Linked DNA regions of Sus scrofa. The protein of the gene in region 2 binds, or shares a complex with, the protein of the main gene of each other region. Links are inferred from orthologs where the notes say so. Each region holds a gene or a part of one and is shown on either strand. Other genes may lie near its edges.

What was found. Proteins that work in one complex are often made in the same cells at the same time.
Region 1: BNIP1 (region 2) and BET1L share a complex: the UniProt entries of both Homo sapiens proteins name them as parts of the SNARE complex. The link is inferred for Sus scrofa from reciprocal best matches to the Homo sapiens genes BNIP1 and BET1L.

Annotation. Positions count from the first base shown.
Region 1 is NC_010444.4:27,839-32,382, forward strand, and holds the start of BET1L (BET1-like protein), read right to left. Parts: upstream 2,624-4,544; 5' UTR 2,269-2,623; coding exon 2,211-2,268; intron 1,520-2,210; coding exon 1,428-1,519; intron 1,189-1,427; coding exon 1,132-1,188; intron 1,009-1,131; coding exon 841-1,008; 3' UTR 821-840; exon of another isoform or gene 1-820. Other genes in the region: RIC8A (synembryn-A), read left to right, coding at 4,456-4,539. UniProt on the Homo sapiens protein: Vesicle SNARE required for targeting and fusion of retrograde transport vesicles with the Golgi complex. Required for the integrity of the Golgi complex.
Region 2 is NC_010458.4:51,137,137-51,141,610, forward strand, and holds the start of BNIP1 (vesicle transport protein SEC20), read right to left. Parts: upstream 3,254-4,474; 5' UTR 2,979-3,253; coding exon 2,895-2,978; intron 2,552-2,894; exon of another isoform or gene 1,310-2,551; intron 453-1,309; coding exon 360-452; intron 1-359. UniProt on the Homo sapiens protein: As part of a SNARE complex may be involved in endoplasmic reticulum membranes fusion and be required for the maintenance of endoplasmic reticulum organization. Also plays a role in apoptosis.

The sequences.
Region 1 (4,544 bases), on a different chromosome or scaffold from region 2:
AAGCCTCCAGGCTGTACCCACAGAGGCCCCTGCTCACACCCTGCCTGACTCTGACATGCCAGATGAGCCTCTTTCTAGAGATCTGGGCTCCTGGAAACGTGTCTCGGTGCTGGACAGACCCTGAATCCTGAGAAAAGGTCAGTTTCTGCTCCTGGACACAGGGAGACCAGGAGGACCTGGGCCCGCGTCTTCAGCCAATGCTGCAGTTCACTTCTCCACGCATGGCCACTGCCCTTCCCTGAGGGTCGGGCTCCAGCCATGGGGTTGGACGGCAGGCAGACACCTCTCGGCAGGACCCTTGACTCTTGCTGGTCCACCAGTGCCCGGCAGCCCTGGCCAGGAGCAACGGCCATCTCTGGTTTGAGGACCCTTGGCTGAAAGTGACAGCAATGATTCGAGGTTCACAGTCGCACCCCTTCCTGTGTCGGCTCTGGGCACCTCGAATACCAGACGTGGCCTTATCCAGACCAAGACCAAGCAGAGAAGCCTCAATACATCAGAACCCTGAGGGCTGGGGGAAGGGCTGCTGGTCACAGGTGGTCACGTCCAGGATTCCCAGCTGCTCTGCTCCAACCTGGCTCTGCTAGGGCTTCTAGCACCCAAGATGGCAGAGGAAGCTGGGCCTTGGTTACCCAATGGGGATGGGCCCCTTGCACACATGGGACCAGCTAACATGAGCTTACTGGGTCAGAGGCTCCCAGCCACACAGGAAAAAGATTCCTAAGCCATGCTCATCACTTCGAAGGGGTATTTTGTAGGTAGATCTTCTGGAGCCCAGGACACAAGGCAGAGGAAGACCCTGGTTGTCCCAGGTACCTACAGAAACCAGTTCCCACTGGCTCACGTCCTTGCCCTTGACAGGAGGTAGGAGAGGATGAAGAAGACCACGATCAGGCCCATGGCCACACCACAGAGAAGCTTCCGGTTGTCTCGCCCAGATCTCGCCATTGTGGAAAAGCGCTTCACACTCCCCGTGAGGAGGCCCGTCACACTCGTGAAATCCGAGTCCTAAGGGAGGAATCCTAGCATTGTCACACGGGGCAGCAACTCCACAGCACACACACGCGGGGGGGGGGGGGGGGGTGCCTGCAGGGCAGGTAACGTGGGGCCGAGAACACCGCAGACCCTTACCATGCCGTCCAGGTACCGGTTCTGGTCCTCCACATCCCTATCAATGTCCAAGGCCAGCTGCTCAGGACACAGAGGGGACAGGGTCAGGCCAGGACAAAAATAACGGACTGTTCCTAACCCCCCACGGCATCAGCAGAGGTCAGGAGATCCAAATGTCACCTGGGCCAGCACAGGTGAGTGCTGCCATGTACGGGACAAAGAGAGAACTATCTGGACCCCTTCCAGGCCTCCACCCTCCCTCTGACGCCCTCCTCCAGAAGGCCAGATGGAGGTGAAAGGAGAGGACCACCACTGACCGACTTGAGCCTGGTGACCTTGGAGGCCAAGGTGTCCGCCATCCGCTTGTTCTCCCGGTCTAGAATCTCCTCCACAGCGCCGGGGCTCTGAGCTGTGAGAAGAGACAGAGAGGGGGTGAGAGTGTGCACCCACCCACGCGCACCCTCTTGACCTCTGCCCTCAGGGCTCTCACTCCAATTCCATCTAGTCCAGGGGGACTGGGCTTTCCTGTGTCTGCTGAACAGGTCCTGCCCTAACCCAGGGTCCAAAGCGTGAACTTCACACACGAGACAGCCGCGTGAAGGACAGCGTGCGAGAGCACTTGTTCTGTGTAGGCATCCAAGCCCGGATGGGTGGGCAGCACCTTCTGATACTCTGTGACAAAACCTGTACCATCCCCTCTGGATGGACTGGTATGTCAGCCCAGATGTCACCAGCGACGTAGAGGGGACCTGTTCTCAGAGAAAACCAGTAAACTCTGGCAAGGACTTAGGAAAAAGTCATGAACAGAAGGGGAGGTCGATCTCACGAGCAGGGCATAGATCTGCTCAGCTCTGCATCCTACACAGAGCCTTACACAACACCCAGAGCAGTGGTTGCTGAGACCTGGCCCAGGACAGGGGCTGGGACTTATGACTTGACTTGGTATAACCATCCTATCAAGTAGATGAGAACTGCCTCCCCAAGTTCACAGGCCAGATTTGCCGTGGGCCAGATGTCTCAGGGAGGCTCATCTAATAGGATCACAACCCTAGAAATCATGGATGTGTAAAGATGCCACGAGATGTTAGCATCCTACCAACCGCTTTCATCCATTAAATCTGTAAATGCCGCAAGCCCAGCGGAAACAAGCATCAGCATCCCACTTCGCAGATAAGAACAGGGGTTCCCAGAGGGCAAGTGGGCCACTCCCAGCCCCAGTCGGTACGAGGCCTTCTTGGGCCATCACGCGCAGCCCTCACTCCTTGGGGCTGGCCTCCGGAACAGTCGACCAGCCCGTCTGGCTGAGGTCCCGTGCAGAACAGTCTCACGAGGGCGGAAGGGGTGGGGACAGCGGACATCCGGACCCCGCAGCTTCACCGAGAAGCCGGGCAAGACCGCCCGAGGGCCCCACCCACGCCGCCCTGGCTCCGCCTGTTCTCAGTGTCTGCCGGCCAAAGCCACCCAGAGAGGCGGGGGCGGGCGAAAGCGACTCCTGCAGGCAGCGGCATCGGTTCCAGCACCGCCGCCACCTGCCTCCGCTCCCCAATGCTCACCCCGAGCCCAGTCCGCCATCGCGCCCAGCACGGACCCGCAGAGCTACAGCCTCCCGGGATGTGGCGCAGCCGTCGGGGAGGGACTTCCCGTCCCGCCCCTTCCGCCCGGGGCCCTCCAACTTCCGGCCGAGCGGGCGAGCGGGCTGGACGGAGAAGAACTGACGTTTCCTCCACCGCCTGCCTTGTGAACAGGGCCGCTGGTTCGCTCCTGGGACTGCTGGAAGGTTATCGTTTTTAATAGCATCATGGTGCCGACAGACAATTCCGCGGCCATTCCTGCCGAAGGCGGTGTCAAATCCTAACTGGAAAGAGCTCACGGCCCTTTCTCAGGCGAGAGAGGCTCCTCGCGGCGACACGGCCCGGGGTCCGAGGCCCGCCCGGCTGCGGTGCGGTTAAGGCGAGGACTCGGTGTGAAGCACGCTCCAGATGCTGCCGGCGGGATAAAGAGGGGATCAGTGCCTGGAACAAGCGAGCGCTGCAAAAATCTCAGGGATGAAGCACTTGAAGGAAAACGGGAAATCAGGAAGAAGAGTGGGAGCGTGAGGGGAGTTAGGGGCAGGAGGAGCCGGTGCTGCGACCTTGCACCCGGGCACTGACAAGGGGTCTGGCACAAAATAGATGCTCAACAAAGGCTTGTTGCGCAGTGGGTGGAGTATATGTTATTCACCCACTGTAATGGAGCATTCACTCTGTGTCGTTTAGTGCTGACAACCCACCGAAATGGGACCTTTTATCATCTCTGCTTTTCAAAAGAGGGAACTGGGTCCAGGCCAGAAGATGTGTCTGCTTACACAGCCAGGAAGTCCCTGCACATGATCAGGCTTTGCCTTCATCCTGACCTGGACCTTCCCTCCCCACTCTCCCCTGTCTCTCAGCCCCAACAATGATCTCTTTCTCCTACAACGGCCATTCCCACCTTTACTCTGCCGGCTCCTTCGGCCTTGAATGAACTTCCCCCACATCCCTTCCTGGCTCACTTCTTCCTCTGGTCTCAGCAAAAGCGACACTTATTCAAATCCCCTTGGAGCCCATCAGGCCCCTTTTTCAATCACAGCACTATGACTGCTTAAAGTCTTCCCGTTTTCCCGTTTTTGTTTTCACCTCTGCAATATAAGCTCCACGAAGGCAAGGACCTGTGGGTTCTGTTCACCCACATCCTGGTTCCTTGCATGCTGTAGGCCCTCAAACGCCTGCTTAATAAACAAAGTGGTCCCGGGGCTGCAAAGTCCTTTCCACTTCGTCTTTCCTCGGAACATCTCATTCGTTCTGTACATCAAGAGGGGTGTAGTGTGCGTGTAATAGCGGGGTGAGAAGCTAAGGCCCTCTCCCGTAGGGAATTCACTGCTCGGAGCCGGAGCGATTCAGGCCCGTGGTCGGATAACCACTGAGTCGGACACTGAAAGGCAACGTGACTAGACATCAAAGCCTTTAAATTCCCGAGGGCTCTTCTAGGCCTCTCCACTTTAAGGCGCGCGCAGCCCGGGCCCCCGCCCCGCGCGGCGCCGCGCGCAGCCCGGGCCCCCGCCCCGCGCGGCGCCGCGCGCAGCCCGGGCCCCCGCCCCGCGCGGCGCCGCGCGCAGCCCGGGCCCCCGCCCCGCGCGGCGCCGCGCGCAGCCCGGGCCCCCGCCCCGCGCGGCGCCGCGCGCAGCCCGGGCCCCCGCCCGCGCGGCGCCGCGCACGCCCCTTCCCGGCCTCCCCCGCGCGCCGAGCTAGGGCCGGGCGGGCCGTCTGGGGCCCAGAGCCTTGGAGCGAGGTACCTTCCGCTTCCTCGGGCCGGGGTCCCGGGAGCGCCATGGAGCCTCGGGCGGTAGTGGATGCTATAGAGACGGGGGAGGAGGACGTGGTTATGGAGGCTCTGCGCGCCTACAACCGGGAGGTGAG
Region 2 (4,474 bases):
GCCCAGGGATGGACAGACCCATGCTACCAGCTTACCCTCACTCAGGGCACAGCACAGAAACACCTACTTTCCTTGCTCTAATGATTTTGGAAACAGCACATATACCCTAGTTGAATTCAAGACTGTTACATAAGCATATGATGCGACTAGAGACACAGAAACAGAGAGGAAGAGGCCAAAGTGACAGTATGAAAAAAAAAACCATTACCAGATAATTGTAATGAATTGAGGTGGATGGGTTAGAGAGAGGGGTAGAGAAAAGAAAGTTAATTCAAGTGATCTCTGAGTCTTCAAGTTGAAAAATTCCAAGGACAATGAATGCTGCCCAGTCTCAGCATCCCTGCTCTGCGGACACTTACCTGTATTCTGTGCCGCAACTGTTGAAATTTTTCTTTCACTTTAGTATTCAGTTCCGTAAGTGCACTTAAGGGTCCTGAACAATCTCGAATATCCTAGGAAAAAGTGAAGAGATGAGGGAGCCTTTCTCAAGGCAATGAAATGAAACGACACCAGCTGTACCGTGAGAGAGTTGGCTTAGGTCACAACTAAGTTTGGCCTACTAACTGAAATTCATCCTGATCTTTGATGTTTACCTCTACAACACAAGCAAAAACAATGTAATTTACATTTTTCTCATCCCGCTTTAGATAACTTCTCAGCAAGTAACATAAAAGCACAGATAGAAACACAACTCTATCTTGACCTATTAGTTCCTGAAGTTTACCAAAACTCCATTCAGCCATTATGAAAGACTTAAAGCAACTTGTGACAGGAATGGACATCTAAAAGACAGACTGTAGCTTTACTTTAATGGTGGGGGGCACTCCTATGGCATATGGAGGTTCCCAGGCTAGGGGTCCAATGGGAGCTACAGCTGCCAGCCTACGCCCACAGTCACAGCAACAGAGGATCTGAGCAGCGTCTGTGACCTACAGCACAGCTCACAGCAACGCCAGATCCTTAACCCACTGAGTGAGGCCAGGGATTGAACTCACAACCTCATGGTTCCTAGTCGGATTCATTTCCACTGCGCTACAATGGGAACTCTGACGTATTATAACATTAGACTGTAATGTTACATGGTTCCAACTTAAAAGTCAGGATGCGGAGTTCCCGTCGTGGCGCAGTGGTTAACGAATCCGACTAGGAACCATGAGGTTACGGGTTTGGTCCCTGCCCTTGCTCAGTGAGTTAACGATCCGGCGTTGCCGTGAGCTGTGGTGTAGGATGCAGACGCGGCTCGGATCCCATGTTGCTGTGGCTCTGGCATAGGCCGGTGGCTACAGCTCCGATTGGACCTCTAGCCTGGGAACCTCCATATGCCGCGGGAGCGGCCCAAAGAAATAGCAAAAAGACCAAAAAAAAAGTCAGGATGCTAATATTTGGCATTATATGACAAGATTAACTTCTTGATCTAATTTTATAAACCCTCTATTGTAAGTCACTGTTTATAAACATGCTCAAAGATAGATTTAGAATTTGCTTCTGGACATTCAGAATTTCCAGGGCCAGGTTTTAAAGCAGGCCCTAGGATATATTATGTACATTCAAATTCTGGTTGTAGCAATTATAAGCTGTTTTATTTTACCTTGAAAAAGTTACTGAGTCCTATGTGCCTTAGTTTCCTCATCCCAACATTACCTACTTCATAGATCAGGTATGTAGTAAAGGGTTTAGCAGAGGAGTTGGAACACAGTAAGAATGCGCTAACTCTAGCTATGATCAACTGTTCTCATCACAAGAACAAAGAGAGCTAGAGAGTGCCCAAAAGGGCTTAAGCAATATAGATTATGTGAAAAGACAGTTTCGTTTGTTTTATGACTCCTCAACTTATTTTTCTAAAATTGGCCCAGAGGTTTGTAGTTTATACATCGGAAACATGAAGTTCAAGAGTTTAACTGTTTGCATCAAGTTGCCTCACTTGTTCTATGGATTATGCATTAAATCACACTTCTTTGCTCCATATAATAAACTATTAATTTGGTTTATTTTGCATTTGGCTTCTGTGGGGAGCCTTATTTTCCTCCACCTTTTACCACAGTTGGCTGCAAATTCTCAGTCTACATCCAACGTTTAGTAACGTTTGTTGTAAATGGAAACGATCTGCCTCAAATGAAGATTTTAAACTCTTGGTTTCCTTTTGCTAAACTCAAGTAACCATTTCTACATTCCTAACTCTTGCCTATGCCAAGGGGTTTATTGTTATCTTCTACCCTCAAACGGCCTAAAACAAAGGACCTCAATTACCCCATCTGTTAAACGAAGTAGACTCAAGTCTTTTTTCTATACTGACTTTCCCTGTCCGACCCCAGTTTTGCCATTATCTGCCCTCTGACCCAGGCCTTGGCCCTTGACTCGATTTCCTAATTTACAAATCACAACGTCCAGGTTACGTTCACTTCATCCAGTGCCTCCCGCGCCAAGGGGCCTTTGGTGACCCGGGACATCAGACCCACGGAACTGGCCACAGGGGCCGGGGTTAACGGCCCCCAGGACTCTACCAAAGGATGGAAAGGGCGGTGTCAGAAGGCAGGGCCAAGCAGGATGACAGGTAAATTGGAGACTGGGGCAGGGCGAGGAAACGGCCGGAGTGGGGCAGGGGCCACAAAAAGGTAGCCAGGCCTGAGGCGGAGGCTGGGGAAGGGAGAGGGAGAGGAGAGGCCTTGGAGAGGGCGAGCCAACGGGAGCCGGAAGAAGGATCAAGGAGAAGAGTCCAGGGGATGAAGGGAACGGGACCAAAAGGGGAGCAGCTAGGAAAAGGGGGCGGGGCCAGCGACCTCGGAGACTTGACCAGATGGGGAAAGCTCAGCAGTGAGACCGCCGAGCTGAAAGAAAACCAAAACCACTTGGGTTTCGGGCCGCTGGTCCCCATTGGGGGTCCTGGGAATTAGTACCTGAATAAGCGCCTTCACTTCCAGGTCGAATTTAACAATCTCTTGGTTACAGATCCGTACGTGGACATCCTGGGGAGCCGCCATGTTGGGGAATGCTGACTACGGACAGCCGCGGGGCCCAAGTTCCAACGCGTTTTCTCCCGGCCTCCCTTCCTTCCCGGCCGGGCCTTGGGGCAGCGCCCCCTAAAGACCGGCCTGCGGCGAGCGAGGGCGGCGGCGCAGTGGTGGGGACTTTCCCTGACACGTGGGCGCGCACTCAGTCGGCCTGTTGGTGTGGATCTAGTTAAGAGAGAGAGAGAGAGAGAGAGAGAGCGAGAGCGAGAGCGAGAGCCGAGGGTATTATCGAGAACGCTTTAACGGTGATCCCTCCGCATACTCCGCCCATCAGCCACTCTAAAGAATGCGGGGTTTTTTGCATGGGGGCGGGGGGTGGGGGGAACCGCTGGAAGAAAAGTATCAACTGGGATATCTCTGAAAGGTATAATTAACAATTGTTTACACTTTTTTAAACTTTCTTGTATTTTCATATTTTCTACAGTGAATATAAATTGTGGAATGAAAGAAAAAAATGACAAACGTTGTTACACTTTTTTAAATATACGAAATTCAAGGCAAGTCCCTAGGGAATCTTCTGTTAGTCCAGCTTGAGTGCTAGGGATCTTTGCGTCTAAAATGCGCAACTGGTAAGTCACATTCCAGTTTATACCCCTTCTCTGCTCCTGGCGGTTCCCTTTTGTGTACAATTAGATTTATTAAATAATTTACCTGGCTGGAGTAGTTTTGATGGAAATAACAACCTGGCTGTTGTCTCTCTCTCAACAGACAGAGAGTCTTTCACTTTATTTTTCTTATAAAATAGTCCAAGTTTCTTAACTTGGCCCTCAAGACCATCAGCTACCCCACCCAGCGCCCCCGCCCCCCTTGCATTCTTCAAGCTCTTTTTGGGTCCGTAGTTGTGGGGTTTTTGTTTTGTTTTTTGGGTGGTTTCTCTTTGGCTGTGCCTGGGACATGTGGAAGTTCCTGGGCCAGGGATTGAACCTTTGCCGGAGCAGCAACCCCAGCCATTGCAGTGACAGTGCTGGATGCTTAACACCCTGAGCAAATGGGAAGTCTGGATCTGTAGTTGTGGAATGTGCTTTTCTCCTTCTTAGAATGCTTTTCCCCACTTGCCCTCACCCCATTCACCTTTGTTCTGCAATCATAGACTGGGAAAAACTGAGTGTCAGCTGTTGCCCTTTAGCCTCACAACCACCCTTGAAATAGGTAATAACCCAGTTTCACAGTTCGGGAGTTGGACTAAGGCCAGATCAAAACAAAACAAAAAACGAGTTCCCGTCGTGGCTCAGTGGTTAACGAATCCGACTAGGAACCATGAGGTTTTGAATTTGATCTCTGGCTTTGCTCTGTGGGTTAAGGATCTGGCATTGCAGTGGGCTGTTGTGTAGGTCGCAGACGAGGCTCAGATCTGGTGTTGCTGTGGCTCTGGTGTAGGCTGCGGTCTGGGAACCGATGAGGGGTCCAGTTAGACCTCTACCCTGGGAACCTCCACATGCCGTGGGTACGGCCCTAGAAAAGACAAA